Saccharomyces cerevisiae S288C: one gene and its partners. The protein of the gene in region 4 purifies or fractionates together with the protein of the main gene of each other region. This does not show direct contact. Each region holds a gene or a part of one and is shown on either strand. Other genes may lie near its edges. The genes, in order: MPP10, SGD1, NAN1 and UTP5.

What was found.
Region 1: the proteins of UTP5 (region 4) and MPP10 purify together in Saccharomyces cerevisiae (affinity purification with mass spectrometry; 3 studies listed by BioGRID, with this or other methods). This does not show direct contact.
Region 2: the proteins of UTP5 (region 4) and SGD1 purify together in Saccharomyces cerevisiae (affinity purification with mass spectrometry, with the first as the bait; 2 studies listed by BioGRID). This does not show direct contact.
Region 3: the proteins of UTP5 (region 4) and NAN1 purify together in Saccharomyces cerevisiae (affinity purification with mass spectrometry; 4 studies listed by BioGRID, with this or other methods). This does not show direct contact.

What each region holds. Positions count from the first base shown.
Region 1 is NC_001142.9:435,166-441,146, reverse strand, and holds MPP10 (rRNA-processing protein MPP10), read right to left. Parts: upstream 2,283-5,981; coding exon 501-2,282; downstream 1-500. Other genes in the region: MRX12 (Mrx12p), read left to right, coding at 1-153; AVT1 (Avt1p), read right to left, coding at 2,537-4,345; PRE3 (proteasome core particle subunit beta 1), read right to left, coding at 5,221-5,803, 5,920-5,981. UniProt on the Saccharomyces cerevisiae protein: Involved in nucleolar processing of pre-18S ribosomal RNA. Required for the early cleavages at sites A0, A1 and A2 during 18S ribosomal pre-RNA processing.
Region 2 is NC_001144.5:799,197-808,061, forward strand, and holds SGD1 (Sgd1p), read right to left. Parts: upstream 3,201-8,865; coding exon 501-3,200; downstream 1-500. Other genes in the region: nucleoporin NUP2, read left to right, coding at 1-396; VRP1 (Vrp1p), read right to left, coding at 3,457-5,910; 60S ribosomal protein uL10 RPP0, read left to right, coding at 6,691-7,629; SPO77 (Spo77p), read left to right, coding at 8,189-8,865. UniProt on the Saccharomyces cerevisiae protein: Involved in osmoregulatory glycerol response, probably through its interaction with PLC1 which regulates the expression of GDP1.
Region 3 is NC_001148.4:306,181-314,814, reverse strand, and holds NAN1 (Nan1p), read right to left. Parts: upstream 4,606-8,634; coding exon 1,915-4,605; downstream 1-1,914. Other genes in the region: karyopherin KAP120, read right to left, coding at 1-1,427; HHO1 (histone H1), read left to right, coding at 5,211-5,987; TBF1 (Tbf1p), read left to right, coding at 6,594-8,282. UniProt on the Saccharomyces cerevisiae protein: Involved in nucleolar processing of pre-18S ribosomal RNA. Required for optimal pre-ribosomal RNA transcription by RNA polymerase I together with a subset of U3 proteins required for transcription (t-UTPs).
Region 4 is NC_001136.10:1,264,243-1,272,088, reverse strand, and holds UTP5 (Utp5p), read right to left. Parts: upstream 4,619-7,846; coding exon 2,687-4,618; downstream 1-2,686. Other genes in the region: URH1 (trifunctional uridine nucleosidase/nicotinamide riboside hydrolase/nicotinic acid riboside hydrolase), read right to left, coding at 4-1,026; HPT1 (hypoxanthine phosphoribosyltransferase), read right to left, coding at 1,356-2,021; negative cofactor 2 transcription regulator complex subunit NCB2, read left to right, coding at 5,191-5,227, 5,320-5,723; SXM1 (Sxm1p), read right to left, coding at 5,931-7,846. UniProt on the Saccharomyces cerevisiae protein: Involved in nucleolar processing of pre-18S ribosomal RNA. Required for optimal pre-ribosomal RNA transcription by RNA polymerase I together with a subset of U3 proteins required for transcription (t-UTPs).

The DNA of each region.
Region 1 (5,981 bases), on a different chromosome or scaffold from region 4:
TTTGATGGCGCACTAGGAGAAAAGCTGATATCAGGGCCGACTGCTGCAAAAAAAATAAAAAATCTCTTAGCCCAGTATGGAGAAGCGTTAGAAACAAAAACAAGCAAACAAGTTATGCAGACTAAGATAGAACATTATATGGAAAGCATATAACTTACTAATTAACATTTTATTACGTATATACATCTACATTTATCCAGGAAAGAACGTCATAAATAATACTAAAATTAGCTATCTTCCAATACCTCTTGTTTCAACGATACTTTAAATGACAGCCAATTACCAACAAAAAATTATTCAGCACATTCTTCTGGTATTTATGAGTGTATATGTTCCGCATCTCGTCATGAATATTTCATGATGCACTTCATTTTCTTTAAGTGGTCCTTTAAGGGGTTAATGACATTACAAGGTCGATATTCCATAAAAAATGCTGGGTGAACAGAGTTATGAAGAAATAATTTTTTACCTAAATACAAACTAAGTCTTCTTCGGCGTGTTCAAAGTTTTATATTTGTGCTATCTGGCCCTGATCTGCTCTTCTTCGTTTTACCGGAAACATCTTTCTTTTCACCCTTTTGATTGATAACAGTAATATTCTTGGCTTTTGACAAAGTGTCAACAACATCATTCCTTTTAGATCTTTTGTTTACATTTGGCAAATTAGCTTTCGATCTTTTTCTTTTCAAAGCCCTGCGCAATCTGTTTTTATCTTCTCTGGTTAATTCTTCCTTAGACATTGCAACACCATTCTTCAAGCGAATTTCTCCGTCCTTTTCTGCTTTACCGACATTGTATATCTCTTGAGGAGCCAAAGAAGAGGCATTCGACATATAGAGAGGTTGAGCATCCTCCATCGATATAGTGGGTGTTTCAACTCTAATTTCCAAAGAAGTACTTGCTGGCTTAGGAACGAAGTGCACTGATGAAAGCACATCCAATTTATATACCAAGTTAGCATAAAGTTCTGATATTTCGGAATGTGCCTTTTGAAGCTCTTCACTTAATGCAGATTCATCTTCAGCGCGTGTGTAGTCATCCTCATATATTTCTGCTAACGACTTCGAGGATTTAACATCACTCAATTCAAATTGAGGCCGTTGAGACTTACGTGTGATGTCTAACAGGGTTCTTCTTTGAAGGTCGTCAAAGTTACTGTCCTGTATCCTTCGTCTAATCATATCTTCTAATGATTCTGTGACCTCACTTGTTATAACAGGAACAGGCTTTGCAGTTCTGTCGAATTCAAGTTCCTCAGTGAGCAATGCATCTTCGGGACGATCCTTTGCCTTTACTTCACCCTTCAAAGACCATTTCTTCTCGGCAACCGCTTCGTTTTCCAATTGTTCTATCTGTTTTCTAATCTCTATTTGTTGCTTTTCGAAACTAGATAAGTTCTTGTCACTGGCTTCTCCCACTCCCTCAGCATTCGGTTCATCTTCCTCATCCGCAAATAAGTCTAATTTCACTTTATCCATGGCAGAATCATGCTCTTCTTCATCCAATTCTTCATCTTCTTTTGGATCTTTTACGTCAGAGTGCTTCTTCACAGGTTCTTTTGTGGGTTTGTCAAAAAAGTCTTCATAATAAATAGCCTCCTCCTCCTCGTCATCTGAAGGCATATCTTGAAAATAATCTATATCTTCATCCTCACTCCCCTCAGAAGCTTCGTTAGAATCTTCTGCAGCTAAAGTATCCCTATTGAACTTTTCGAGATCGAAAAACTTATCATTGATACCATAAGGATCGGGTGAAGAATGCCTTTCATCTTGCCCAGAAGAAATTCTTTTTTCCTCCGCAAATTCTTCTCTAGCTGCCTCTGCACTGGTTTTTTCGTCATCCATACTAGGTTCTTCATCGTTCTCGGAAAGACTATCATTACTCTGCTCCTCAATCTCAGAAACATCAGCAGAGAGCATCTGCTTTTCTTTAAAAACACTTTCTGCCTCCTCTAGTTCACTTTCTTCCCCGGATGATGAGTTCAGGGTGCTACCATCAGAGAGATTGTGAGAAGGCGTGACAACATCTTTGAGTTCTTGAATTCCTTGAATTAGATCACCATCAATACTATCAAGAACTAGTTTGACCTGCCACCAAACTTGATTGGCGTCTAAACCATCAACAGTGATTTCGTCCAGTTCTGCTTTCTTTGTAATACTCCCATTCTTACAGGTATTGATAACTGAATCTATATATGCTTTAACATCTTTAGAAGTGGCGGAGGGGTCCTTCAAAATAATTCTGCCAGCATTAGATTTCAATACTCCAAAGAGTTCTGACATTATACGACTTTCCTTGGGTCTTTCGTGCACACATCATTTATTCATAACAAAACACTGTTTCTTCAAGAGCTCATCGCAAAATTGAAAATTTTCTGCTTCCCTCGCATGCCGGCGGCCAGTACAGAAAAGGCGGTGAATATTTTATGGAAATAATTCTACACGAAAATATGTATATTACGCAATGGTTTTTCATTATCAGAAGTACAGAGCTAATGTAAATGAATTTTAAGTAGAGTAAGTATGCCCCTCGTCGATTATGAAATAATTGCAGCACCAACACCTAATGTGGACAACACGACACTAATACATATGGTTACGTGACAAGCCACTCTCTCCCATGGTTTGATTGTTGTCTTGCACAATCTTAAATAGAACCAACACGGCAAAATTAGGCAAATTGTAAAACACAAACCGGCCCCCAGAAATGCGATAATCTTATCAAATTCAGGGAAATTAATAGCTATCAAAACGAAGACAACATTAATAAAGATCCTATTGAATACTTGAAGGCCTTTCGCAGCTCTTCTTTTTATGGCGCTGGCCGCTTCATCTATGTGTTGCACATTCATCAGAACGTCCAATACAGAAACGATAGGTCTTGCGTTCAATGGGGTCTTTGCGATAGGAATGATAGTCATAAGCGCTGAAATCAGACCATAAACGAATTTTGGATATCCCTCCGTCAGCAAAACGTTCTTAGTAATTTCATCTTTAACAAGATTTCCAAACATCAAAAAGCCAATAACTGCAGTACCTATGTCCGTAACCGATGTTATCTTATAGGTAGTTTTCAAACAGTCTTTAAATTTATCTGGATGCCTCATATCTGTCTTTAAGTTGGGAAAAACCGCATGTCCTCCCCAGCAGGCACTCAATAAACCTATAGATAAACAGAGATGCTTTAGATCTATCGGCCACATGCTCGTTTCCATCGGATTAACTAATGAACCTGGAGAAGACGACTTGTATAGTCCGCAGCAGCAAATGACTAGCACAGTTCCGGTTGTTGAAAGGATTCCCAGAAGCGAGATATTAGATAGAACACTCAATGGTATAAAAACCGGGGGTGTAACGATAAAAAATGAAACTATTTTGAAAAAAGTGGTGGAGTATTGAGGAAATAGAGCATTTAAAGAATCTCCGAAGAGAATCACCAAGGACACCCCACTACCCAGTAGGTCAAGTGTGAAAAGAGCAGAAATTAGTGCGCGCCCTTTTGTACCAAATGCTGCATATCCCAAGTCCGCGTAAGATATCAAAGTTGGATCTGTATCTAGGCACCTAGACAAAAGTTCAGCAGTACAAAATGTCGCTAAGGCGAAGATTGCAAGCATAGTAAGTCCTATAACCCAGCCGGCGTATTTCAAACCAAGAGGTAACGCCAGGAGCCCAATACCAATCAGTACATTGATTGAGTTGAATATGGTCTGTGGAGCGGTCGACTGACCAGCAAGAAGAGTTACTACCTTACCATCTACACCCTCCACTCTCTTCACTACAATTGAATCCATGTCATTATTTGTAAACCTTCTCCCCGCTCCACCACTCATCATTTCTGTTAAGGAGGCAGTAGGGCGTAATATTGACCCAGAATCCCCAATTGTTGAATTTTGGATGGACCCATAATCATCATCGTGAATAGCCATGCTGGCTGTACTAACTCTATCGTTGTTAGCCAAATTAGTAATGCGCGGGCGACCAGCATTATTTAAAGTTACTGATAATCTTCTACCGTCCAAAGCTGGTGCTAAAGTATCCGGATCGTAGGTTTCATCGTTACTCTCTTTGAAAAAGGATCTTTCATTATCCGCATTTAGCTCGATATTACGAAACGAATTGGCTCTCCTCAACGAAGTCGCAAATCGACTTAAAGAATTAACTCCCTTAAATGAGCCCACAGGATGGTCCAATATGGATTGCCTACGTGTCATGAACCCGTCAGACTGAAACTGTGATACAGAATCATCTGGTGAGAATGCGGAACCTCTGTTCAATGGGATTGAGATATAGTGAACCTCAGAGCGCTTACGGCCATTGGGACTCAATGGTTCTTGCTCAGGCATTTGCGTCTCGGAATCAGTTATACAGAATACGTAAGTCTACGTAATGACTCCCCGGTGTTACCTTTTCACTGTAAAATTTTTCTTTAGAACTACACAACACAACAATATTTTATTTATTTATATTCTCGATCTATCGCTATTTTCGCCCCTCGGTAAAAGAGATAAGAAAAAAAAAAACGCGATGAACAATAGCTAAAACAAAACAGATGCCTAACCAAGACGCGTTGTGTATAACAAAATACCAGTTTAGTTGTTGTGGATGCTTATTCTATTTAGGATGGCCAAAGAACCTACAAAAAAATAAAAAAAAAATAATATTATACTCGTTCTCAACAACTCTACTAATTATTAAATAGGATTATATTAGAGTAACTTAATCACGTGTTAAATAATTAATTTACTTTAAAATTTATTTTTTAATATAAAATATTTATTCTTTTTATTTAAAAATAAAAAACACAAAAAAACAATGTTTATGATTTCCGAACCTAAATATACACTTTACGAGAAGAAATGATTTTCCGGTAGTTAACCTTTTTTTATAGATACGTAGATACAGTCACCATTTTTAACATTGCACACAACTGTACGAATGCATAGATAAGGTAAGCCTTCCAGGACTCCGAAGAATTAGTGAATCAATCTCACATACGTTTTTATACAACAAAAAAATGATTAGTCGTAAAATATCTTGCTTACGAAATTCCCTTCTGAGATACTTTGTCGTTCTAACAGTTAGAGAAAAAAGCGTAAAGCGAAGAGAAAAAGAGAAAGAGGTTATAGACTATTATATGTTATATCAGTGTAGATCCAGAGGCATTTGTTAACAAATATAAAGAGAAGTAATCACTCAGAATTTGTTCTTTTGGGGTCTATTATAGTTGTTCATATTCATCAGGGTAGAATATCAAACGTTCCACACCAGCAGCTGTCAAAACAACCATTCTTATAACACCACCGGAAGATCCGTCCCATTTAATGGCTTGCGATAGCGAATGCTTTATGAAATCTACGGTTTCTTCCTTTGACATATTTTCTCTAAAGTTTTTATCACAATACCCATATATGAAAGTAGAGCCAGATCCTGCTATCGCATAAGGCAGCTTATGGACGGAGCCACCCAATGGAATAGTATATACTTCCCCTTTGTTTTTGTCATCATAACCAGCCACAATTATACCAGCAGTAAGGTTATCTTTATTTTCGTAACATAATTCTTTGAACACCGAGGCAGCAGTCTCTGTGGAGGGGGTACCATATTGAGAAGTATATAATTCCAAATGGTACTGAACAATGTCGGCAATCGCCTGCGTGTCTGCTGCAGAACCGGACCTACAACACCAAATTTTGTCATGTACTCTCGTTAATTTATCTGTCACACGGTTAGCTATGTACGCACCAGTGGTGGTACGTGAATCAGCACCTAGTATCACACCATCCTTAAATGTCACGGCCATACTATTTTATTAGGTGATTATAAGATACCTATTAGTTAGTAATAAGGCCAATTGAGACTTTACTTCATTGAACTTTTAGAAACAATAAAGTGGGAGGAAAAATTCTTATATACATACATTGAGGTACCTAAACTGACTTCGCCCTTTTTCAAACGATTGATGTCCACTTGAATTCCATT
Region 2 (8,865 bases), on a different chromosome or scaffold from region 4:
ACCCCAGAAGAATCAAAGCCAATAAACTTGCAAAACGGTGAGGAAGACGAAGTGGCTTTATTTTCGCAAAAAGCAAAATTAATGACATTCAATGCTGAAACCAAATCGTACGATTCAAGAGGCGTAGGCGAAATGAAGCTTTTGAAGAAAAAGGACGATCCTTCTAAAGTGCGCCTACTTTGTAGGTCTGACGGTATGGGTAATGTATTACTAAATGCAACTGTTGTAGACTCCTTCAAATATGAGCCTTTAGCTCCCGGAAATGATAATCTCATTAAAGCTCCTACTGTTGCGGCTGATGGGAAACTTGTAACTTATATCGTCAAGTTTAAGCAGAAGGAAGAAGGCCGCTCATTTACGAAAGCTATTGAAGATGCTAAAAAAGAAATGAAATAAGAGTAAATACAGTTAACAATTTTAAATAGAATAGAACCCTCATATTTTGTAGCTCAAGGTTATAGTTGAGCAAATAAAGAATACAAAATTTATTCCAAAAAACACTACGAATCTATATTTTCCAGTTCTTTGTCTATAATAGATTTGGCAGCTTTTGAAGCCCAAGCCAATCTTCTTTCATCCCTATCAAAAGCTTTATCTCCTTTCTTTCCTGCAAGGAAATTATGGTATCTAAATTTCTTGTTAATAAACCACTTCAAACCTTTGAGAATGAATAGCATATTTTCCGATTTAACGTTCTTCGTTAAAACATCGCGCAAATAATCATCGGAGTAGATTATACGCTTATTTCCACTTTCATCCATCTTGAGTTTCTTCTCACTTTTTTTAGCTACAGTTAAAAATAACTGAAATAGCAATATCTCCATAAATAACATCCCTTCTGTGTTTAATCCACCCATAAATGGAACATGCTTGAAAACATCTAATTTCAAAATGTCATTAGCAAGCAACGATCCAAAAAATCTCCCCTGATTTGAGATGCGAAGCAGTTTTTCTTTATCATCTAAATCATCTTCTTCGTCAGTATCGCTTTCAGAATCGAATTCTTTGTCTTCAAATTTTTTTATCACATCCCAGAATAGGAATTGAAACGACTTCGATAAATGGCTATACCTTTCACATATTTTGTTCGCGACCAATGCGTAGTAATGATTATAACCATTGGATCCACTATCAGCCAAAAGACAATGTAAAACAATTCTTGGAATTTCAAGAACTTGCTTATTTTTCAAGCTTAACTTTTCAAGTTTACTAAATGCATCCAGGTAATCTTGTGCAGACATAATACTTATAAATATAGCCCTTCGAATGTCAGTATTCATACGCTGTTGTCTGGCGATAATATTCCAATCTGGAATATCATCAAGAAGATCATCCTCGATTGAAATTTTAGATTTCTTGGACTTGCTGGCATCATTTTCATTATTGATCGAAACTTCAAAAGCATTTTCCATGTTTCCTCGCCAAGAAGCACCAACCAGCCACCATTTCCCCTTGGAATCAATGTTTTTAATGTCTTCCAGAGAAACCTGTAAAGGCTCCCAAGAAGAAGAAGAATTCAAAATGCTTTGCAAGTTTTTCTTTAATGGATGATGATCAGTCGCCAAAATAGAAGGCTTTAACCTGTTGTTTTTCAAGTCAGACATGGTATCCATTAAAAATCTCAATCTTGGGCTCTGCTCTTTTAAATTCTTGGCGTTCTTCAACAGTTCTGATCGTATATCTCTCAGGGCGGATGGATCATCACCCCGGATCAGTTGTCCTGAAATCGATATAATTCGTAAAAGTAACTCAGTAGTGAATTCATTAGGATCTGCTACAAATATTCGAATAATGTCATAGATTAAGCGACACGAAACAAATCCAAAATTATAACAATACGATAGTAAGGTTGCAATATTGATGCATATTTTAGAGGAAATTTTGCTCTGCTGATCCTTTAATATATTTTCCATTTCCTCTTCGTAATGATGCAGAAATGCCTCTACCGTTTTTTGAATGAAAAAAGCACCCACCTCAATACCTCTTAGTTTTGATAATGTATACGCAAGAGCAGCATAATTCATTATAAATCCGTCCAACAACTTCTGATTTTGGCTTATAATATTCAATATCCCTTTCGTTAACGATTCTGTAACGTACTGCCTAGGCAGGGAATCATACAATCTGTTTAAATCAGTGATAATAATAGTAATATTGGAGTCTGAAAGCTTATTCAAAGAGGAGTTGACCTTCTTGCTAATTTCAGACAAAGTACTATTGTTTTCACTATCATCCAATTTCTTTCTCAGTGATGGGGGAACATAGCTCTCTACAGATTGTGTGGGAGCTACATAGGGATTTTCCTTTTCTCTTCTATAATTATCATCCGAGTCCGCAACGCTGTCGTTATCAGATTCACTAAGCCCATCTGAGTCTTCAAAATCAGAAGCTGAAAGATCATCATCCGAGGAAAATGCTTTCTCGCTTGCTTCATCATCTTTTCTCATAGAATTAGTTTCTGTGGCAAAATCTCCATACTCTTCGTCACTTTTGCCATAATTTTCAAAGTATTCCAAACCTTCAAGAAGTCCACCAATAGCATCAAATTCATCTTTTGCATGTATAGCCTTCCTTTCTCCTTTCAAGCCCAACTTTTTTGCGTAATATTGCATGTCCATCTCGTCCCTTTCAAACGCTGATCTGTCTGAAGGGGCCAGCGGATAACTCACAAAATTCTCATTTGTATCTCTGTTACGAATATGTTTCTTTTCATATGAGTTACCTTTTATTTCTCCCGAGTTTTCAGCTCCTTGTATACCCTTTGCTTTCCGTTTCAATGATTCTAGTTTTTTCATTGTTTCTTCCGCAGACATTGCCTGCTCACCGCTTTCTTCTGCTACTTCATCAGTAAGCACTTCGTCACTATCCCAGTTTTCATTACTTTCTGATTCATCTGAAGAAATCGGATTTTTACCGTTAGCCTGCTTGCCTACGTTTTTCACACCTGCATTAGCACTCCTCTTTTCGGACGTTGGTGCTGATTTTAGCCGGCTGGAATTGATTTCTCTAGTTGATATAATTTTACGTTTCTTGTCGGCCCGTTCCATCTTTCTCTTTTCTTTACGGCTTAAATGTTTGCCATTTCCTCGTCTTCTCTTTTTTCCTTCTGAAATAGAAAACCTTTCATCTTGACTGTAGTCAAGAGTCTTCAACTCGTCCAAAATAACGCCTGGAATTCTAATACCATCTGTTTTTTGCATTGCCTCAATATTCTGCAGCTGTGGACTGGCTATCTTTAGTTAAGATGAGGCTTCGTAAGTAAGTTCAGTAGTCTTGTAAGCTCATCGCATTTTTTTTTTTTTGCTGGATTTTATATTTTTCACAGCGAAAAGGACGGGAAGCTAAAAGATTAAAAAATAAATATTGCAGATACCATATGTAATTTAGTAAAATATTTTTATAAAATATTATTATTTTCTTGTTCTTCAGTGATTTATTGTAACCATGGAGAAATGCTCACGTAAATAATGTTAAGTCCAATGGCACACTACTACCCTTTCCACTTGGATACAGTTTTGTTTTATTTTGAAAGGGACGTGGCTTAGGCATTTGTGACACATTAGTCCATTTAAATCTTGAATCATCTATAACAATTCTTTCATTTCCAGATTTGGCCCCAACGATAGAATTCGATCCCCCTATCGTATACCTACCTACATCAACATCTGGTTGATTTGTATGCGTATTATGCTTGTGTTGCAGCGTCGATCCACCTGTAGAAAATAACCGTTGTTTAAGGTTTTTACTGGGGCTATTAGAGGTACCGGTATCCATCGTAGATGGACTTGGTGGTGGGGGTGGCGACTTAGTGGGGTTCTTCGAAATTGATTCAGTTTCGGTACGAACGGAAAGTGTAGGCGCAACAGGAGGAGGTGATGGTATTGATGTAGACACGGATTGCTGAGGCAGACTTGGTGCACTAAATGTTGGCAATGGCGGAGCAGCTGCAACAGGAGGAGAAGGAGGTTTTTCGAGATTCGAGGAGGGAAGAACATCGTGTAATAAAGAAGCGGCGGGGACATTATTCTTGCTATCATCTGATAAAACTGGTGGAACTGGTGGAGGTGGAACGTGTCCAGGCAGTGCAGGGGCCTTTGCTTTTTTCATCCCTAACACAGTCTCACTCTTATCATTGGTGTGGTCATCACCTGATGCAGTTGGAGTCGGTAGCGATGTTATAGGAGGAGGAGGTGCACTAGGAGGCAAAGGAGGCGCCATAGCATCCGTATGGGGGGGTGGTGCGTTAAAAGCATTCGATGATGTTTGCTTATGTAATTTGGATTCAATTTCATCCAGAAACGACATACCATTTTGGCTACTCTGTTTAGGCGGGTTTATAGATGGAGAAATAGGAGAAGGTCTTACGTTATCATCCTTAGATGAACCTATTACATCCTCTTGTTTATCTTGGGTAGTGTATCCAGTATCACCACCAACCACGAATCTATCATCTCTCTTCTTTTGGATCTCAGCAAGAAATGGTAAGGGTCCCCCAGGTGTTACGGCCGAGGAAGAACTGGATGAAGATATTTTGGATTGCTTACTGGACGCTGAGGGTTTGTTTGTCGTGAGTGTTGGAGGAGGAGGAGGAGCCGATGGTACTGACGTTGCAACCGAAGGAGGAGGAGGAGGTGGTAGTGGTGCTAAAGGAATAGATGATGCTGACAAGGCAGAGGATGTTGAAAAAGCACCAGGTGGTGGGGGAGGAGGAGGTGGTGGCGCGGGCATTGACGATGCTTTGTTAGGAGGAACTGATGTAGTATTTGGTAACGGTGGTGCTAAAGTTGGGGGAACCGGGGTTGCTTTTACGCTGTTAGTCGACGCAGAGCTCATGGCTGCTGGTAGTGGTGGTGGAGGCGGAGCTGGAGCTGAAGTTGCTTTTTTAGGTGCAGAGGTCACATTTGGTAACGATGGTGGAGGTGGTGCAGTAGGCGGTAATGGCGGAGCATGTGATGTAGGAATGGGCGGAGCAGATGATGGAAGTGGTGGTTGTGAAGGAGATTTATGATTTTCGGTTTGAATCTTTGTGGAAGAAACGCCCTCGACGGCTCCTCGTTCAGACCTCCTGGCATTAATTTCTGCCAAAAATGGCAACCCGCCTGCAGGAACTTCAGAAGATGGTGGTGAGACTGCGTTATCTGTAGGTTTAATGTTTTTTGAGTCCAGGCCAATTGTTGGAGTTGGGGGAGGGGGTGGAGCTTGTGGAGGGTTGCTAACATGTGTTGGCAGAGACGCTGAAGGCAAAGGGGGTGCTGACACACTAGGAAGAGAAATATTAGAGCTTTTTCTTTGGTGGCTTCTGTGTGCTGGCCTTACTGAAGGCATATGCGGTCTATTTTGCGGTACCTTTGGAGCAGAGGCACCTGATAATGGAAGCGGTGGTGCTGGAGATGATGGTACAATGGGAATAGGAGGGGCCGCAGAAGATGGAATATCAGGAATTGGAGGTGCAGAAGACGAGGGAATACTAGGAACAGCGGGTGCTGGTGATAATGGTGCATTAGGAATGGGGGGAGCCGCAACAGATGGCACCGCGCCCGGAATTGGCGGTGCGCTCGCCGATGGAGAGGGTTTAGTGCTTGCATTGTTATTGATATGTTTTAACTTCGGTATACCTCCAGCTAAAATATCGCCCAACTGCGGAGCGCCCATCCCAGGGATTGGAGGAGCTGACATAGAGGGTCCTTTACTACTGACGGTACCAGAACTTCCTGAGGCCGATGAAACGACACCACCTCCCACGATTGGGGCACTTCTATCATTGGTCTCAGCTTTCTTTAGTTTCATTCCCTTTCTAATGTCACCTAACAGGGCGTCACGGCCCTGCATCACAGATTTTGCCGGTTTAGGAGCACTACCACCTAATGCTGGTGGAGGCGGTGGAGGAGGAGGAGCTGGAGCACCTGCCATTTCAACAATTCGTTATATATATGGTAGGCTTCTTCAACAAACGGTTGTGCGCTTTTTAGTCGTATGCTTTGTCTCATATCAAAAACTTTCTTCATAAGTTTATAATTTTAGATTTTGTTCAAGTATTTACTGACTGTGCGGATTATTCTTAAGGCCCCTATTTGAGGACGGCGGCCGCACCCGTAAGCAGTGACTAGGTTATGAACATTTCATTCTTTCTAAAGACGCTTTTAGCAAGCTTCATACAGGATAGTAGGATTTGAAGGCTAACATTGTGATTCCATCCTCTGTCAATGTTTCGTAACTTGAATATTTGCGACTTTTTCCATCTTTTGTGAGCTAAAATTTTTATCTTGCCCTTGTAATTTGAACTTAAAAGAGAATACAGCAATGTAGCGGACAAACCGAACATTGAAATTACCATTTTAATTGTAACTTATCTTGAAGGAGTTCCATACCGTATGTTATCAAGATACTTCTCAGGGCAATATCTACATTTACATATTTGCCTGCTTAACATCCGAACATTTCACATTTTGATTATTTCGAGAAAAAAGTCAAAAAATTTCTCAAAGAAAAAAGAAGTAATGCCGAACTGAGAGTGAATGCATCACATCGTTGCGAAAAACTGGTAAAAAATGACTTCAAGTTATAAGTAAATGAAAGATTAACAATATCTAATTCTCGATTCTTTTTTCAAGTTTCAGCCATAAGATACATAAGCGGAATACCTTTAAACATCCTGCAAACAGTCTAATAAATACGTATAATAAGTTTGAAATGGGAGGCATTCGTGAAAAGAAAGCTGAATACTTTGCTAAATTAAGAGAATACTTGGAAGAATACAAGTCTTTGTTCGTTGTTGGTGTTGACAATGTTTCTTCCCAACAAATGCACGAAGTCAGAAAGGAATTGAGAGGCAGAGCTGTCGTCTTGATGGGTAAGAACACCATGGTTAGAAGAGCCATCAGAGGTTTCTTATCCGACTTGCCAGACTTCGAAAAGTTGTTGCCTTTTGTCAAAGGTAACGTTGGTTTCGTTTTCACTAACGAACCATTGACTGAAATCAAGAACGTTATTGTCTCTAACAGAGTTGCTGCTCCAGCCAGAGCTGGTGCCGTTGCTCCAGAAGACATCTGGGTTAGAGCCGTCAACACTGGTATGGAACCAGGTAAGACTTCTTTCTTCCAAGCTTTGGGTGTCCCAACCAAGATTGCCAGAGGTACCATTGAAATTGTTTCTGATGTCAAGGTCGTTGACGCCGGTAACAAGGTCGGTCAATCTGAAGCTTCCTTGTTGAACTTGTTGAACATCTCTCCATTCACTTTCGGTTTGACTGTTGTTCAAGTTTACGACAACGGTCAAGTGTTCCCATCTTCTATCTTGGATATCACCGATGAAGAATTGGTTTCTCACTTCGTTTCCGCTGTCAGCACCATTGCTTCTATCTCTTTGGCTATTGGTTACCCAACCTTGCCATCTGTCGGTCACACTTTGATCAACAACTACAAGGACTTGTTAGCTGTTGCCATTGCTGCTTCCTACCACTACCCTGAAATTGAAGATTTGGTTGACAGAATTGAAAACCCAGAAAAGTACGCTGCTGCTGCTCCAGCTGCTACCTCCGCTGCTTCCGGTGACGCTGCTCCAGCTGAAGAAGCTGCTGCTGAAGAAGAAGAAGAATCTGATGACGACATGGGTTTCGGTTTATTCGATTAAGAAGTGCAACATGAATTATTAAGTTAATTTCATATATACTATTTTATAATTAAATAACATTAATCCTCATTGATTCATTTTATTCATGATAATGTACTGTCCGGTTCCTTGCGCTAGCCTGAGTTAGTCTCCGAATACCTGGCGATTTTCATATATTCTGAGCGGCTCTGGACACCTAACTGGATAAAAATACTTCCACTTAATGTAGTTTGGTTTTCTAGTTCATACGGACTATTTCAAAGTTCATGATTTGATGAGAGAAAGTAGCTATACTATCTTCCCAATTTACGCTTGTCTCTGAACAAAGGTTTTTATCCTTTATATGCTTATTGAAATACTGAGAATACCAAAAGTTGTCTTTTTCTCTACTATCGCTTGATTCTTTCAAGACGTCGGATATAAGAAATGTCACAAAATCAAAAATAGCTGCGAGGAAATAATGAAGAAAAGTAAAAGACGAAACTACTGCTTCGATGAGAGGTGAGCAGAAGCTCCCATAAAAAAAAAAACCTATCTTGCAGTATTTCTATGTTCCTTAAGAGATCAATAGAAGTAGAATATGTTTCGAAGGGGAGATAATTCAAATTTTAACGTACAAAATAGCTTCTTTCTTCCTTTGGAATACGAATATACCGTAAAAGATAATGTACCTTCAAAAAAAAAGAGTAGTATAGGTTTTTTTCCATTAGATGATTCTTTATTCACATCAAAAAACAATTCAGGGCACCATAAAAGCGAACAGCTCCATCGCGGTAATGCAGAAACTATCAGAAGCCAGTTTGGAACTGACGCAGTTCCGATAAGGATCGATGAGAAAGAAGGAAAGTGGGATAGAATTCAAGATGATAATTCTTCTAATTTAAACTACCAAATTAACAACAGTAATGACCCAGCTTCGAGTGGTAAATATACCCAGAGTATTGACTGTAACCATATAGCGGAGTCAAAATTTTCAAAAAAAAATGGAAACATTGATAGTCTTCGTTCAAACTCAGCAACTTTTATGCTAAATACTGCAGATGAAGACGTGATAGAATTTAGTTTTGACGATAATGTCCCTTATGCTGAGTTATTATCTGGTGCCACCCTTGAAAAATGTTCGTTGACTCTAAATGAAATAAACAAAAAACTATTCAATACGCTCTATGACTTTCGAGTAAGCAAAGATAATCCCGAAGAAAATTTGGTAGAACTAATACTTCCGAACTGCGTGGTGTTATTAAACTTTTTTGAAGA
Region 3 (8,634 bases), on a different chromosome or scaffold from region 4:
GCGGATGCACTTAATTGGAAACTTGCATAAATTGCGTCTTTCCTTAAAAAATCGTCTAATGAGTTTGATAGCTTTGAAGCATCATTTTCAATTTTCTTTAACAGGTAGGGAACCAACAGCTCAGAGAAAGTATTCATTAAGTCTTGAAAAACGTTCTCTGCACATGGTCTGATTTGATATTCGTAACTCGTGGCCATTTGTTCGTTTATCCATTCTTCTGGATCCATAAACCAATTTTCTAATTCAGTTGGTCTTAACCTCAAGTACCATTCCATTAAAGTGTCAACCAACCTTGTTATCAAATTCTCATTCAGAAATTCTGTGTTGATTTTGTTGATAGAAGCATCTATGGTTAGTTTATCACTTCTTGCTTTTAACGTAATTGCCCCCTTTTTGTGAATGAAATTAATGACCCTTTTCAAAATTAAAAGCCCTCTAATAGCAGTCTGTTCCCAAAAGTCCCCCGTGACATCAGAATTCTCTCTATATACTTTAGGGGCCTTATCGAAAATTAGCCTAGTATAAGTGATTAGAATTTGCGTAGAGCATGGCAGTAATATGAAATTAGCCGGAGAGCCAGTGACTAAATTGAAATATAACTTTCCTAGGCATTTGATAAACTTTTCGTAAATATCAAACTTTTTGAAGTTTTCATGGTTTGAAATTAACATCTCAAAGTGTGAAACGGATAGTTTAATAAAATCGCAAACAGACTGATCGGTTTGAGGGCGGTCGTATCCTTCACAAATTATCCTTCTGAGCACTTTCAAAGCTAGGTAAGAAACTTGTAAACTGGAAAGATCCTCGTAGTTGAGATTGGAGGATGTCGTCCATTCTTCAAATGATTGTAAATAAATCCTGACAATTAGTGGTAATATCAAAGGAACTTTACTTTGCATAGCGGGTCGGCACCTTCCTATTCTCGCAGTACCTAATACTTTAACGATTTGATTTATATGCATCAATATATTGTAAATCTTAACTGAATCTTTTCTGATGATCTCATCGTTCAATAGGTTTTCTAGATCCTCAAATAAGGTTGGCCACTCTACGGGAAAATCTAGCCTTGCAATCCTTGCGGAAGCTTGGGCATTCTGAATACAAAGTTGATTATTCTGTTCATCGATCATTTCAAAAAGACGACCTCTTATCGAGGCTTTTTCATCTTTAGGTATAGCGTTAATTCTAGTGGATCTCCAGTATTTATCCACGCCGTTCTTAAATTGAATTACCGCCAACCATCTAATTTGTAAAGAATTAGATAAATTAAGGTAGATTGACTGTAATAAGTAATGAAATCCCGCTTGAGTCTCCCATTGTCTTAGTTGTTGTTCGGCTAATTTTTGAACATCTGACCTAATATGTTGTGGGTTACTTGCTTGTTCAAGTACTTGAACCAAGTTTAACTCGTTAAGAGACGAGGCCATTTTTGTTTAACGCCTTTTAAAATTTGATTCGGTTGACAGTTGAGGCAAGCTAAAAAGTTAATAGTTTATGGTGCCTCCTTTTTCTTAAACACAACACCTACCAAGAAGTTTGACAAATATTAAGCTACCCAATTGTTTGAAACTTCAATCTTCTTACATGGAAATGTACGCTATAGAAGTGTAATTCAAAAAAAAAGAGGCGGCTTATTTGGAGAGATTATTTTATTCATCTTGACTGAGGATGCTCATCAAACAAAAATCGTATGAAGAGATTTTTTGTATATTATGATAGTTCTATTAACATTAATGATTGTGAAGCTTTTTACGAAGTGTCTGTTCCTATTAACCAATGCATTCTCTTCCCTTCCCTTGTAACTAAGTTATACAGATATTTTTGCTTTCGGTTTGCTTTATAAACATATATATATATATATATATATATATACCTTTATATCTATTTTGGATATCCAATGGAAGAACCCTAAAGCTATGTTAATACTTTCATCACACGATCAAAAAATGTATCCATTTGCACGTTTTGAATGTTGTCAAACATGCTCGTAAAACTATTCATATTGACTAGCTTATCTTTCTTTTCGCCATTTATAAATTCCAAAGCGATATCTTCTTCATCTTCGTCGTTATCATTGGTATTTTTATCTCTAGTGTCACTTTTTTTGCCCCTAGACGACAGTTTATGCAATTGTTCTGCAAAAATATCGCTATTGGATGCCGAAGTTGTGATGGTGTTACTTACCAGGCCATCCAATATTCCTTCGTTATTAACTTCATCAGATAGTTGAGTATTCACAGTGGTTCCGACAACACCTAGTGTTGATTCTATGTCCAAAAATATGAAATCAGTATCATAATTCCAACCAATCCAAGATATGTATTCATGATGCGTAAAATTACCCAATTTTGTAGATAAGTCAGAATCGAATATAATAATACGGGATTTGTAATTGATAGTTGGTACGCCATCGAGATCAGTTAGTTGTTGATTTATAACCAGGGCAATGTTGCCTGTCCTTTCGTCACAAGTAATAAGCCTATCCATGTGACCATTTTTATACACTCCGTTAACAAACGGATATAAGTCAAAACTATTTATGACTTGACCCCGCAATAAGTTGATGGCGTTTAATGTAGTCCTGGTGGCCACTATTAAATTTGTGTCATTAATCAACTTGACGGTTTGGATTTCAGAGTCTAACGTGAACTCACTGACCGTCTTTGTATTTTCCAATGATTCAAACTTTTTAAAAGTGTCGAAATCTAAAATTTGCAACTTGTCATCGAAACCATGGAATATTAGAGACCCGTCTTGAGACCAAGCTAAAGAAACGGAGTTACTGAAATGATTAAAGTTTGGTAAAGAAATTTTTTTCAAGCACCAGTTGCTCTCATGAGAGTCGAAGGACCAAAATTTCAGTCCACCGTTGTTGTCAGCCGTTAAACAGCCTTGACTATTATTAACTGATCTTGGTGAAGGCAATATCTTGGTAATTGGGACACTTATCCCGTGTGGATTTATTACTTTCGTTTTCAAATTCCAATTTGTCTCATTATCGTTTTTGGTCCAAAATTTCAAGATATGAGTTAAGTCCTTGGAAGATAAGAGGTCATTTGGCGGATACTCAATTTCGTATGTAATCATCCATTGCCCATCTTTGGTGAACTTCAAATCAGTTATTATTGGGTCTTGTAAATTCAGTTCAAATCTAACTTTACCCATAGAATTGTTGACACCTGATGTTAAATACTGATAGTTAACTTGCTCATTTTTATAGAAGTCAAAAATTTGAACAGCAGAAATGTGTGGGAAATACAAGTTCTTGTTAATAGGGTTTATTTCTACATTAGTGGTGAAATCTTGTCTTCTCGATTTAATTAGTTTTCTAGATTGTTTCTTCTTAGAGTGATTGAGAGAGGTAATTGAGTTGGAGTTCTTGGTATTCATGGCCGAGATTGGTTGCTGAATGTGTTTTATGGTGCTATTGAACACCGGTAATGGCCCGTTAATCGACAATTTGGAGGTCAAATCAGAAGCATTCAAAAGTAAAAATTGGTAGTCAGAATTTGAATTGTTTTCAGTCATTTGTAGGATTAAAGAGTAGTAGTTCCCTTGAGGTCCCAATACCTGACAGTCGATTATAATACCGTTCAAACGAGGCAGGAATTGTTGAGAGTTTGTTTCCAATTGCCATAAACTCATAACTTTTTCCCAACCACCAGATAGCAAATAGGATCCATCGTGAGAGAATGAGAGTGACAGCACAGAGTCTATATGCCATTTGAGCAGTCTTATTTGTAGATCGGCCAGGCTTACGATACTTATAACTCCGGAGGCAAATCCAACAGCCAGTTGTTGACCCATATTGTCTATGGCCATGCTAGAAACGTACCTTGTGTTATAGGATAGGGATTGAGTCTGTGAAGAAAGGATGGAACCGAGGGGAAAGCTTAAATTTACAGAATCATCAAAAAGCGAAACAACTGAGATGGATTTGTGTTCGTGATCTTTTGTTGAGACGTCTTTGCACATATGCGCTAGCAGTTTACCATTGGAAGAAATATTTGACAAGATAACGTTGTGCCATTCTGCCTGATGAGCCACTTCAAATTGCTTTTTAGCATCGTCAAAGGTTAATGCATATAACCTGTACGATTGCAAAGAGTTATGTGCCTTTTGACTAGGGTCCTTGAACGTTGTCAAAATTCTATAGTTGCCCTCGCTATGGAAAACATTTGCAAGCTTTTCATCTGCCAAAGAGATTTTGAAATGCTTAGGGGACTCGACCAGCTTCCCCTTATAATTTAAAACAATTACATGACCATTATTGGTGAATACGGTAATCAGATGAGCGTCTTCTTGTTGCGGAACGGTTATATCACCCAGCAGAATCTTTACAATCGATTCATTATTCTCTTCTTCTTGCAGAAATATTCCGGATAACAAGGAGTTATTTGCAAACTTTAGAGTCTTAACACATTGTCTAGTTTCCACAGAATACACCTTGATCTGATTGTTAAAGGGTATAATATAGTTTCGTTGGTCTTGTGATAGGCGGGCGATATTCTTATTGCCGGTTACTGAACTGAGATTATTCAAAGCGGGTTTCCCACCAGATACGACTGACAGTTTATACTGTTCGATACCTAGGGATTGCGTCATTCTGGTGATCAGCTAAAATGGTTCTGGTTTGTACTTGTAGTTCCTGTGACGACAGCCAATATAACTGATATGTAAACTGTGCCAAAAATCATTTGTTCGAAAAATTTCATCTCATCTCATCGCTAGGAAAAAGAAAGGAAAATTTTTTTCTAGTTTCTCCTTCTCACATTTTACATCACTTACCACGTACCCTAAGCAGTAGGCCGCCTTAACCCTGACGTGCTATTTTGTTACCCTACTGATGTGACCGCTAGATTTTGACATGCCAAGCAATACAAATCTCCAAGAAGTTGCTGTTTGCTTTGATGAAATGCTATTCTGTGTCAAAAATGCCCCCTCCTAGGGACTTGCGTCTAGGTAAAAGCTATTCTGCACAATAACAGGTTTGATGGATGATTTTTGTTTGTTCTCTTTGGCTTTTCATTTTCGCGTCGCGTTTTCTGCTGTTGTTTGTTTTTTGTGTGGAAAAGCGGGCGGTCAAAGTTTTTTGTTTATCTGCCTTTATTTAAAGAGGAGGAGCAACTATAGATTTGGGGAGTTGTTATTTATGGGCACCTGATAATGCTTGGCAGCGAGGGAAGCAATTATAATACAACTAAAGCAACATGGCACCCAAGAAATCCACTACCAAGACCACAAGTAAGGGCAAGAAGCCTGCAACCAGCAAAGGCAAGGAGAAATCAACTTCCAAGGCCGCTATCAAGAAAACCACGGCAAAAAAGGAGGAAGCTTCCTCCAAGAGTTACAGGGAGTTGATCATTGAAGGGCTCACGGCTTTGAAGGAACGTAAGGGATCCAGTCGTCCGGCACTCAAGAAGTTTATCAAGGAAAACTACCCGATCGTCGGATCCGCAAGCAACTTTGATTTGTACTTCAACAATGCCATAAAGAAGGGTGTGGAGGCCGGCGATTTTGAACAGCCAAAGGGACCCGCTGGTGCTGTGAAACTGGCCAAGAAGAAATCTCCAGAAGTAAAGAAAGAAAAAGAGGTCAGTCCAAAACCCAAGCAAGCCGCCACTTCTGTGAGTGCAACCGCATCAAAAGCGAAAGCCGCATCCACGAAGCTAGCGCCAAAGAAAGTAGTGAAAAAAAAATCGCCTACTGTTACCGCCAAGAAGGCCTCTTCGCCTTCTTCATTGACCTACAAGGAAATGATCCTTAAAAGCATGCCTCAACTTAATGACGGTAAGGGCTCCAGCCGTATCGTTTTAAAGAAGTATGTCAAGGACACTTTCTCCTCCAAGTTGAAAACAAGCTCAAATTTTGACTATCTGTTCAATAGCGCTATCAAGAAATGTGTTGAAAACGGCGAGTTAGTGCAACCAAAGGGCCCCTCCGGCATTATTAAACTAAACAAGAAGAAGGTCAAACTCTCCACGTAAAAAGTGAATATCCAAACGAGAATGTCAATGGTGATAGCAATACTATCAAACCTATTTTCTTTCTTCATTTTTGTGTCCCATCACTATTAGTATTTTGTATTATTTCTAAATTTTTTTCTCTCTAATTTTCAATCTTATTCAAGTGTTTGTTGGCGGTACTGTAAATTTTCATTTTTTAATCTCTCCCTTCTCTATTTGTTACTTATTCGGTAAATATCTCCTTTATGATTTTATTCAAATTCCATTCTTAACTAACTAACTATACTGTTTATAAATTTCTCTTCTCTTATATATGCAAGGTACAGTGTGTAAAATTAATTATTGTATTTGAAGAAAAGGCTTTAAAATCTGAACATTTGAAGCCCTAATATTCTGCACCGTGCCCTATTAATTTTCGCCCCTTTCCGTAGAAGCCCGGCGAGACCTCATTCCGACTAATTTTCCTCAATGCTTTGCCCTTCCTTGTAAACATTATAATAAACAATCATCTCAATATTGGCGTTTTGCTCCTATATCCTTGCCAACATTTAAGATTGTGGCTGTCCCATCTGCGACAGAAATCATTTTACATTAGTTTTTCTTTACTCACTTCTTTCCCCATTTGTCATGGATTCGCAAGTGCCCAATAATAACGAAAGCTTAAACCGCTTCAATGACATCATCCAAAGCCTGCCTGCAAGAACTAGGTTGACCATATGCTCATTATGTCTGCTGGACAATATCTCCACTCAACTACTGAGGTTTCTTATCCTTAATGCCAACTCTCCCAATATTATAGCGGTTTTGACGGACCAGACGGCTTTCCTAAGCTCAGGCGAAACAGAAATTTTTCAAACGTTAGTCAAGCTCTTTAAGCAGATCAGAATGATTTACCACACCAGATCTCCGTTACTGTCTGTTCACGACGTGGCGCCTGGTTTATGGTTTCCCAACTCCCCTCCCCCCCTTATATTGAGAGGCCACGAAGCGTTTATTATTACTGCCATAAGAAAGGCGAATCTGCTAACATTTCTATTGACGTCGCTGAACTGCCTTAATTACGGGTTTGAGCTGCTACAGTCGATATTTCTCGATATTTTCTGTCCAAATACAAACACTGTCGGTAACAACTCCCTGGAACAAAGCGGAAAGTTTTTGAAATCGCAGGCTATCCTATATCTTGATCTGAAAACACAGGCTTACATTGCCGGCTTGAAAGAGTTTCAGGACGAGACGAACGAAATTTCTTTAGAAAAGAAACAAGAGCTACTAGACTTAATCTTCCCATCCAATCTGGCTGATATTCTCGTGCAGAGAAGAACCGGCGATTCTGGAGACATTACACTTTTGACTCCATCGGAGAAGGACTTCGTCGAAAGGTGCGATCGTCGGAGAGAAAATTTAAAGATCGTCCAAGATTTTAACTCTCTGACCCAGAGCTACGAATGGGCTCAATTTATCAGAGAGTTGCTGGATTATTGTAATAAAAATATGGGTCTCATCATATGGGGCAGAAAGGGTCGCGGAAAATCACCATTATATGACTTTGATGTCAACGAGTTTGATCCTCAAGTACTCTTTTCTACAGGGACCAGGACCGTAGAATTCATGGACGACCAAAATCAGCCAAGCAGTGCGTCTGCTTTTTTGTCAACTGCTCGTCCGAATCATTACAGCACACATACACCTACCACAGATGTGTCTTCCAAAAACCCCGCTATCACACAATCCATTGTGGATGCCGCTGTTGCGGCCTCGATGAGCAACAGCAGCTCTGGTCCTCATTCCTCTCATAACAACAGCAGTAACAGCAACAATAATGGTAGTATCGGATTAAGAAAACCAAAGGCGAAAAGAACTTGGTCCAAAGAGGAAGAAGAAGCATTAGTGGAAGGCCTGAAAGAGGTTGGCCCATCGTGGTCTAAGATTCTAGATTTATATGGTCCCGGTGGTAAAATCACGGAAAATTTGAAGAACAGGACGCAGGTACAACTGAAAGATAAAGCCCGTAATTGGAAATTACAATACTTGAAGAGTGGCAAACCATTGCCTGACTATTTGATAAAAGTGACCGGTAACTTGGAGAAAATCTACAAGGCAAAGAAAAAATTCTCTCAATCTCCAAATTCGTCAACTATTATGGAACAAAATTTATCTCAGCATCCTTCATCAGCTGCATCTGCTACTGAAGACACTCAAACTCATCAAGAGGATTCACATGGGCAAAATAGTGATAATATGCCATCTAACGGACTTTTTGGCAATAGTACATCGGACAATACAGGTTTTGATCCTCATTTAGAAGATGGGATGTAGCGCGCTTAAATGAACAGACTTCTAATTTTCTATTGAACCACTCACTATTAAAAATACTTTGATGGGTTGTTAACTTCGCATTGTTTGGTTCCCTAGGTATATTCTTTTGACGTGGTCACCCTATCTTCTAGCAACCTGGTCCCCTCGTGTTTTTCTTTTTATTCTTTTTTCTTTTCCATTTTCTATTACATTGGAATGTATATATTTGATGTTCTCATTTTCTAAAATGAAAACTGTTGTATAATTACTTAAAATCCAAGATAAAAATGTGTTGTAATAATATGTGTTTGGTAAGGTGTCGCGGTTATTGGAATAAAGTTTATATAAGACAAAATATCAACGTGTTTTATTT
Region 4 (7,846 bases):
TTCTTATCCAATCGTTGACATTTTGTCTGCTCTATTTAATGCTTCAAAAATCTGATCCCAAAAGTACTGGATATTCAAATCGAGACCAATTATTGTACCAACATCACTGTCATTTGGATATTCTTTTTCAATGATAATTTTCCCTGAGTTTTCGTTGAAAACATCATCAATGCAGGATATGTCCATTCTCTTGTAGCGAAATCCAACCGCAGACGATGGATCCCACCCATAAAATTCCAAAAGCGGCATCAAAGCTACCGGATCATGTATAGGTGGGCCCGATTCAAATCCTTGCATATCCTTGTAGGTATGAGCAAAAAATTGAAAAAGCTCCAAAAACAATTCTCGTAACTTGCTGTTATTCTTTTCGTTGTATATCATTTCGTTAACCTTGTAAGTAGCTATGGCCTTGTGAGTTAAATTTAGAGGAACTACTATACATTTGTCCTTTACATCGGGATCACGGAATATGTAATTCGCTGCGTCAGGATCAATCCAAACGTTGAATTCAGCAGAAAGATTTGGGTTACAGTTTCCTAGACCATGGAGTCCACCCCCCATAATGCTAATATATTTGACAGATTTTTTTAGGTATGGTTTACACCTAAAAACTGTTGCTAATGTGGTAAGTGCACCAGTAGACACAAAGGATATCTCTCCATTGTTAGCTAGAATCGCCTCTTCAATGGCCTCAATATACGTTTTATCAGTTCTTGCCTCAAATGTTGGCTTAGGTAGCAAAGAAGTGCCGTCTAAACCTGATATACCATGAATGTCAGGAGCATAATGAGGTTCCCTTTTCCAAGGTCTCTGTGCGCCTTTATAAACTGGAATCGCTTGTGCTTTGCCCATCGCAGTCAAAAGAGAACGGGCGTTGTAGTCAGTATTCTCTGGCGGTGCGTTACCAAAACACGTGCTGATTCCTAGAAGATTGAAAGCTGGATGGAAACAGCCTAATAAAATGGCTATGGCATCATCATGACCAGGATCACAATCTAGCCATATGGGTATTTTACTAACAGTCATCTTTTCTTCAAACAGTCGCTGGTTATTGCTGTCCAACCCTTCCCCAACCTTGCAGATGAGGGAAATTATCTGTTTTAATAAGTTTCGTGAGGTAAAAAAATCAGCAGATTCCATCAAAAGTAGTTGTCACGTATGTGTCAAATATCGCGTTACGTGGTGGTGAACAGAGGGAAAACGTAATCGCGCCTCACAGGTTACCGGTGAGGCTAAGGGAATAAACTTTGAGATAATAATTAGTTATACGTATACATATGGTCGCAGTTATATGCGTTGTCTATTGTACAAATTCTGCTGTATGATTCAAGTTACTGAAGGATATGATATGTCTATCATTGCTTGTGTTCCTGCTCAGGAATAAAGATGTCATTGCCCTGTTCAATAGCCATTCTAGTATGGAAAACAATGTCAGTAGATTCCCATGGATATGCATACCACTTGTCTGGAACAGTTTTAGCTGCAAAATAACGGTTCTTGTCATTCAACATTTCGGCAGGCAAATCTGCTTTCTTTGGTTTTTGCTTATCGTGTAGAACAAAAATCCCGAAGTTTGTTTTCATCTCTGGAGACTTTTCAGTATCGATACCTTTAGCCTTTGCCTGTTCAGCTGCATCCTTTTCCAATTCACTCAAAGCGTAATGAAGTGTGGTACGGGTGTCATCGACTTCGTCAACGATAAGAACGTTCTTGCCGACTAGATCTAATTTACATTGCTCGTAATCAATCCATTGTGTTCTGCTAACCTTAACACCAACTTCCTCAACTTCTGAGCCTACACTGTTCAAATCTTCGTACAAAGACAAAATAATAGCAAAAATTCTGATGGTTGGCACGCCGGGCTCCTTTAGGAACGTACGTAGGATCCTAGCAGGAATGAAACCACCACCACCAATGGCAATGATTAAGTCCGGCTTGAAATTCTTAATTCTCTCAGCGGATACTTGACATAGTTGATGTACGTTGTTGTACGAGATGTATTGCTTATCGTTTGCCGACATTATGGGAACGTAATGGATATAATGAACACGAACGGTAATATAAAAATAAGAAAGATTACAAGGCACTACATCGTATTACTCCAGCTAGATGGAGACTAAAATAAAAAAGTTACGGCAAACCAAACTGCGAAGGGGGAACAAAATCTAACGGAAATTGGGCTTATCAAACATGTTTAAATAGAAAATTCTATAGCAGCTCATCGCTACCCGATTTGGGACAGATGGAGGGGGAAAAATTTTTTTTCCTTTTCTTTCCTAGTAAACGCGAAATATAGAGAAAAAAAATGAAAGAAGTCAGATAAGCGGAAATGATATTAATTGAAATTAATCTAATTAATTTTTTCAGAAGAAAAAAAAAATAAGTGACTCGGAAGGGAAATATGTACTGTCTTTTCTTAGTTAACCAACTATGGTTGTGACGTAAAAGTGGAGTGCTTGCTTGATGTTCCAGATGGCCTTACTGTTAACGATGCCAGATGCAGTTCAAAAAGGATAAACGATTGTGGGGGTCTTTTGACAGATCTTCTTCGCGTGGGATACTTTCGTGATCTTTTTTTTTCTTTTTTCTTTTCTTACATTATGTGGTGAACTCTATATAAGTATTTATGTGCCTAGAGATTATTTTTGTATTCTGATGCGTGAAAGCATTTTATGCATGATATCCTCTATTCCATCTCAACGTCACTATATCCGGCTTCCTCCTCGCCGTCGCTCTGCTCCGTTTCTAAACGGCCATCTTGCTTAGATGAGGTATGCTTCTGTTCCTCTTCGTTGTCACTATCACCTTCTTCTTCTTCTTCACTGCCATAAGATTCTTCACCGTCCTCTATAAGGCCGGCATCATCGAGTTCTTCGTTATATTCAACGTCGTCTTCGTCCTCTTCGACAACTGGTTCGGATGAGTGGATGTCGCCTGCTTCATAGTTCAAAGTTTTGAATTTATTTATAGTACAGTCTAACCTTGCATCCAGTGCTAGTAGCCTTGGTAATAAGTCGGAACGCCTTTTCAAGGTGGAATGTAACGACGATAGAGTAGACATCAAATTTGGAATAGAAACCAAATAGCCACCGTGTATGATTAAACACCATTTTACCCAAACATTCAATGGGCCTTGACGGTGGGTTTGTCTTGCAATCCTCTCTGCCAACCTTTCTAAGAGAATGACAGCCAGTGCTGGTTTCAGACGGAAGATAGTATCCCTAATGACCCTCTCGTCACGATTATTGAGCACTGTTTCCAACAGTGAATGATCATTTGATTGTAGTGCTTGCGACAGAATTACTGTTACCGTCCCGGTTGTCGTAGCAGTCTTGAGATTGGAACCTTTTAAATTTGTTTTTTTCCCACTAATCCTTGCGACGGTGCTTGATTCTAGCTTATCACCAAATGTTTCTGTTAATAGTTCATTGGCCTGTGGGGGCTTGGCCTGTTCTTGTTCCAAAGAAGTCAATTCTCTTTCCCAGCTCTTTATAGCGTCATCAACATGCTTGAAGTTATCTCCAGAGGTGACTCTTGCATTACCTTCCACGTAGTTGGTGGCTGAGGCAAGATCTTTACCGTGTAGATCGCGATCGGCGGACTTATTTTTATTATTCCAATTTAGGGAAATTTCGACGGTATATTCATTAGGGATTTCTCTCCACTGCAAGTTCTTGAAGTAAGGCATAGTAGCATTTTGTAACCACGATACGTTCAAAAGGTCTTTATTAATAAATGCGTTATAAATTGGAACTTTCCTGCCGTCTTTACTGACGATTTGAATCTTTTTGCTGGATTTTTTGGACTTGTTGCCTCTTTTCTTTGTTGAACTCGATACCAATGGATCAACAAAAATTTCCAAGCTACCATCCTCGGTAGTGACTGCGATAGAATCGGCTTGGCCTGAATGAGATAACTCCTTGATATCTGATTCAGCCACAAGGACGCATTTGGTCATACCGGAATGAATATCATATACGTTCAAGAATCTATCACCCTCTGCGCCTGATATGAAAAATTCATTAGTTATAACTTGCAATGTGGACACTGGAGATACATGACCGGGAAATGTCATTACGACTTTTTTCTCTTCGATGTCTATTAAAGAAATGGAATGGGATGCAACCAAAAGTTGTGCAACAGAATCGCCTGCTGGAACAATGGTTAGTTTATTCAATTGAACGCAGTTGTTTATTCTAAAATGTTGTAACAGTTTGAATTGTAACAGATCGAACTGATAGAATGCGTCGCTGGAGTCGATACACCACAGTTGATTACCCATCAAGTCTATGTCTTTGATTTCGTAAGAATTCCCCGTAGTGAATTTATAGGTGACTTCGTTGGCCAATACGGAATATAGCCAAATTTCACCGTTATTCATACCCAATATAATAGCCACTGTGTCGGAAGAAGCCAGGTTTACCCATTTTAAGCACGTCACCTTCAATTTCGAGTCCTCTAAATACAGAAAATTCTCATTCCACACTGTATCAACTCCGGAGGAAGTGGCCCTTTGAGTGGGCTGTACACCAACGCGTTGCTTGTCCAAAGCTACAGTGACATAACACAAATACTGACCTGATGGGTCATAAGCGGACTGTAGAACAGGAGAATCCATCGGTAATGAACAATTATAAGGCAAATGTGTCTTTTACCCTCTTGCTAAGCCAAGTTTAAACTATATATGCTCTGCATCTATCTTTACATACATATATCCTATCCAATACTTGTTAATTTTTTCACCTCATCGCTTCAGCTGCGAAAGATTAGAAAAAGAAATGAAAAAAAATTGGATAAAATTTTTTTGTCAAGAAGCTCATCCCCGTGTTAAATGACAATCAAAGAATAAGGGGAACTGTACAACACGTTCAACCAAAACTATTGTAAAGAAATGCCACCACTATGCAGCATAGCCTGTTCATGCGAATAGTCGCCGCAAAAATTACGATCTGGTTTAATCAGCTCGGGCTCTTATCTTTGGCGTATTCCAGTATGTGCAATTAACTCTTGCACCACTTTAAAACGCCCAGCCCGCTGCACTCTCCCTCCTATATAAATGGAAGCGGTTTTTGGTCGCGCTTTTCGCCCTCTGCTCGCCTTGTCGATTTCTATCGTGCAGAGTTACCAGTATAAGGTGGGCAAGAAATCATAACGATATTTACTAATACAGTTGTACCTATTAATTAATTGATGGCTGGAGACTCCGATAATGTGTCGCTTCCCAAGGGTATGTTAGTTATATTGTTGTTGCAAAACTCAAGCTTTGATGCGGGTACTGAGCGGTTATACTAACTTAGAGAAAACACTGAATGATCTTAGCGACCGTACAAAAGATGATATCTGAAATACTGGACCAGGATTTGATGTTTACCAAGGATGCAAGAGAAATCATCATCAACTCCGGCATAGAATTCATAATGATCCTGTCCTCGATGGCTTCCGAAATGGCGGACAACGAGGCTAAGAAAACCATAGCGCCCGAGCACGTGATCAAAGCGCTAGAAGAGTTGGAGTATAATGAGTTTATACCATTCTTAGAGGAAATATTATTGAATTTTAAGGGTTCCCAGAAGGTGAAAGAAACTAGGGATTCCAAGTTCAAGAAGTCAGGTCTCTCGGAAGAAGAGCTGCTACGACAACAAGAGGAGTTGTTTAGACAGTCAAGGTCCAGATTACACCACAATAGTGTATCTGATCCGGTTAAGTCGGAGGATTCTTCTTGAATAGAAGCTTCTAAACAAAGTAATGCTATATACGAAAATAAACCACATGGGAATATGTTAAGCGCATGCATGTATGTAATAAAAACGAAGACAAGTCCAAAAAAAAAAAAGAACGAAAAAGAAACAACTTTTATATTTGTATATTAGAGTATAAACTAATATCCTTATTTCAAACTATCACATTCCACTATTTTTTTTGTGTTCTCCTCAGTGTTGAGAAACAAATTCCAGAATTACCTGCAAGGAATCTCTCTTAGATTCATCCAGATAATTTATGATTTTTTCGTACTTACCGGCATCTTCGTTTTGCAAATTCTTGAAAAAGGTATGTACTTCCTGGAAAACATTAATTTGGTCTAACACTGTCTCCTTCATATCATCATCACATTCGATAAAGTATTCTTCTTCTTCTTCTGGGGTCAGGTCTCCTTCTAAGGATTTGCCCTCGGTAACAGCATCACGGTTTCTAATTGCCTTTGGCAATGATAATGTCAATTCCACCAGTTTATTGGTCAGGTTATTTAGTAGTGGGCTGACACTATTAGGAACTTCAGGCATCTTCAAAAGGGTTAAAATGACCAGGACTTGTAATTTGATGGCGAAGACACTGTAGAACTTTTCATTAAACCAATTGGTAAAGAAATTTATAGTAAAACCTTCATTTTCCATTATTTGTAAAGTTTCGATTGGTTTAGCAAACAAATTGGCCAGTCCCAGTTTAACGATGCATTTAGAGTCCAATCCTAGCTCATCATTAGTGGATACTTTGATGGCTTTGCTGAATAATGGAATGTCTCTCATGGACAGTGCGAAGTACATTAGAATTTGCATAACATGCTCGATGTCGTAGTCAACTTCACTTTCCAGTTTAGCAGAGAGAATTTCTAGCAGAGGTTGAACATAAGTTTGATCTTGTGGGAAGCCGGTCATCACGATGGTTTCAAAAAAAATACTGTAGGCCTCAAAATAGTCCATGGCATAAGTTTGGAAAGAATCCAATATATCATGTAACAACTCCCATATTGGTGGTGCAATTTGGTTATAAAGCAGATGCGAAGAAATAGTTAAAGCATCCAGTAAGTCGACAGCTTCCGTAATAAAAGAAATTTGTGCATGAAGTACAACAAACTTGACCACGGGAGCTAAGGACTCGATTAATGGAACTTTATTCATTGACATGACCATAGTAGTCATTGTTTGTAACAATCCACTGGCCTGGATTTCCTGCTCTTGGTCACTTGCGCTGTAGGTTTCCGATGGATTTTCTACCAATGCTTGAGCAATACGTAAAAATTGTTCGACTAGGTTTGAAGCTAAATCTTTAGCAAATGGGGATAGTTCATCTGAAAATCTCTCCACCAATGCTTCCATGACTTCAGATAAGATATCGATTTCAAAGATTTTAGACAATTTCAATAGCTTTTCCATCATACCTGGAACATGAGCAGAGACCGCTGGGTGGATTTGAGGATTGGATACAATTAAACATTTAATGGCATCTGCGGCCTCAATTTGGACTGGTAAAACGTTACTGTTTAAGAAGTTGGTATATGTTAACTCAAATAATTGTGACAATATGTTCATATCTTTAAATTCTTCCGAATACAGCGCTATCGTTTCCAAACTTCTTGCAACCAAAAACATGTACTTATCCTGCGATAACAATGGCACGATGAAGTGTCCAAAAATATTCTCCAGAACGGATGGCTCATCTATAAACGAAAACAAGTTAGACAATGTTCTCAAAGCACCCTCTTCTTTAAATGCCATGTTAATATCACTGGAATTGGCATCGAATCTAGTAAAAATATCATTAATGAACGGTAAAATATTGTTCAGTTTCTCAGGACGTTTGGACCCAATCAAGAATATGAAATCTGCTGAAGCAGCATCTGGCGTAGAGCCTTCTCTGTTAATGTCAAAATAACGCCTGGTATATTCCTCTTGGTCATCTTCTAATAATTCGATGGATTGTTCATTAGCACACAAACATGGGAAGATGACGTTCTCAAAAATAATTTGTAAATGTGGCTCAATTAAAGGATAAAGTTGATCTATTGTAACACATTTCTCTAGGAATGAAATTAAGAAATACAAAGAGGAATCGGATAACCATAGTGAAT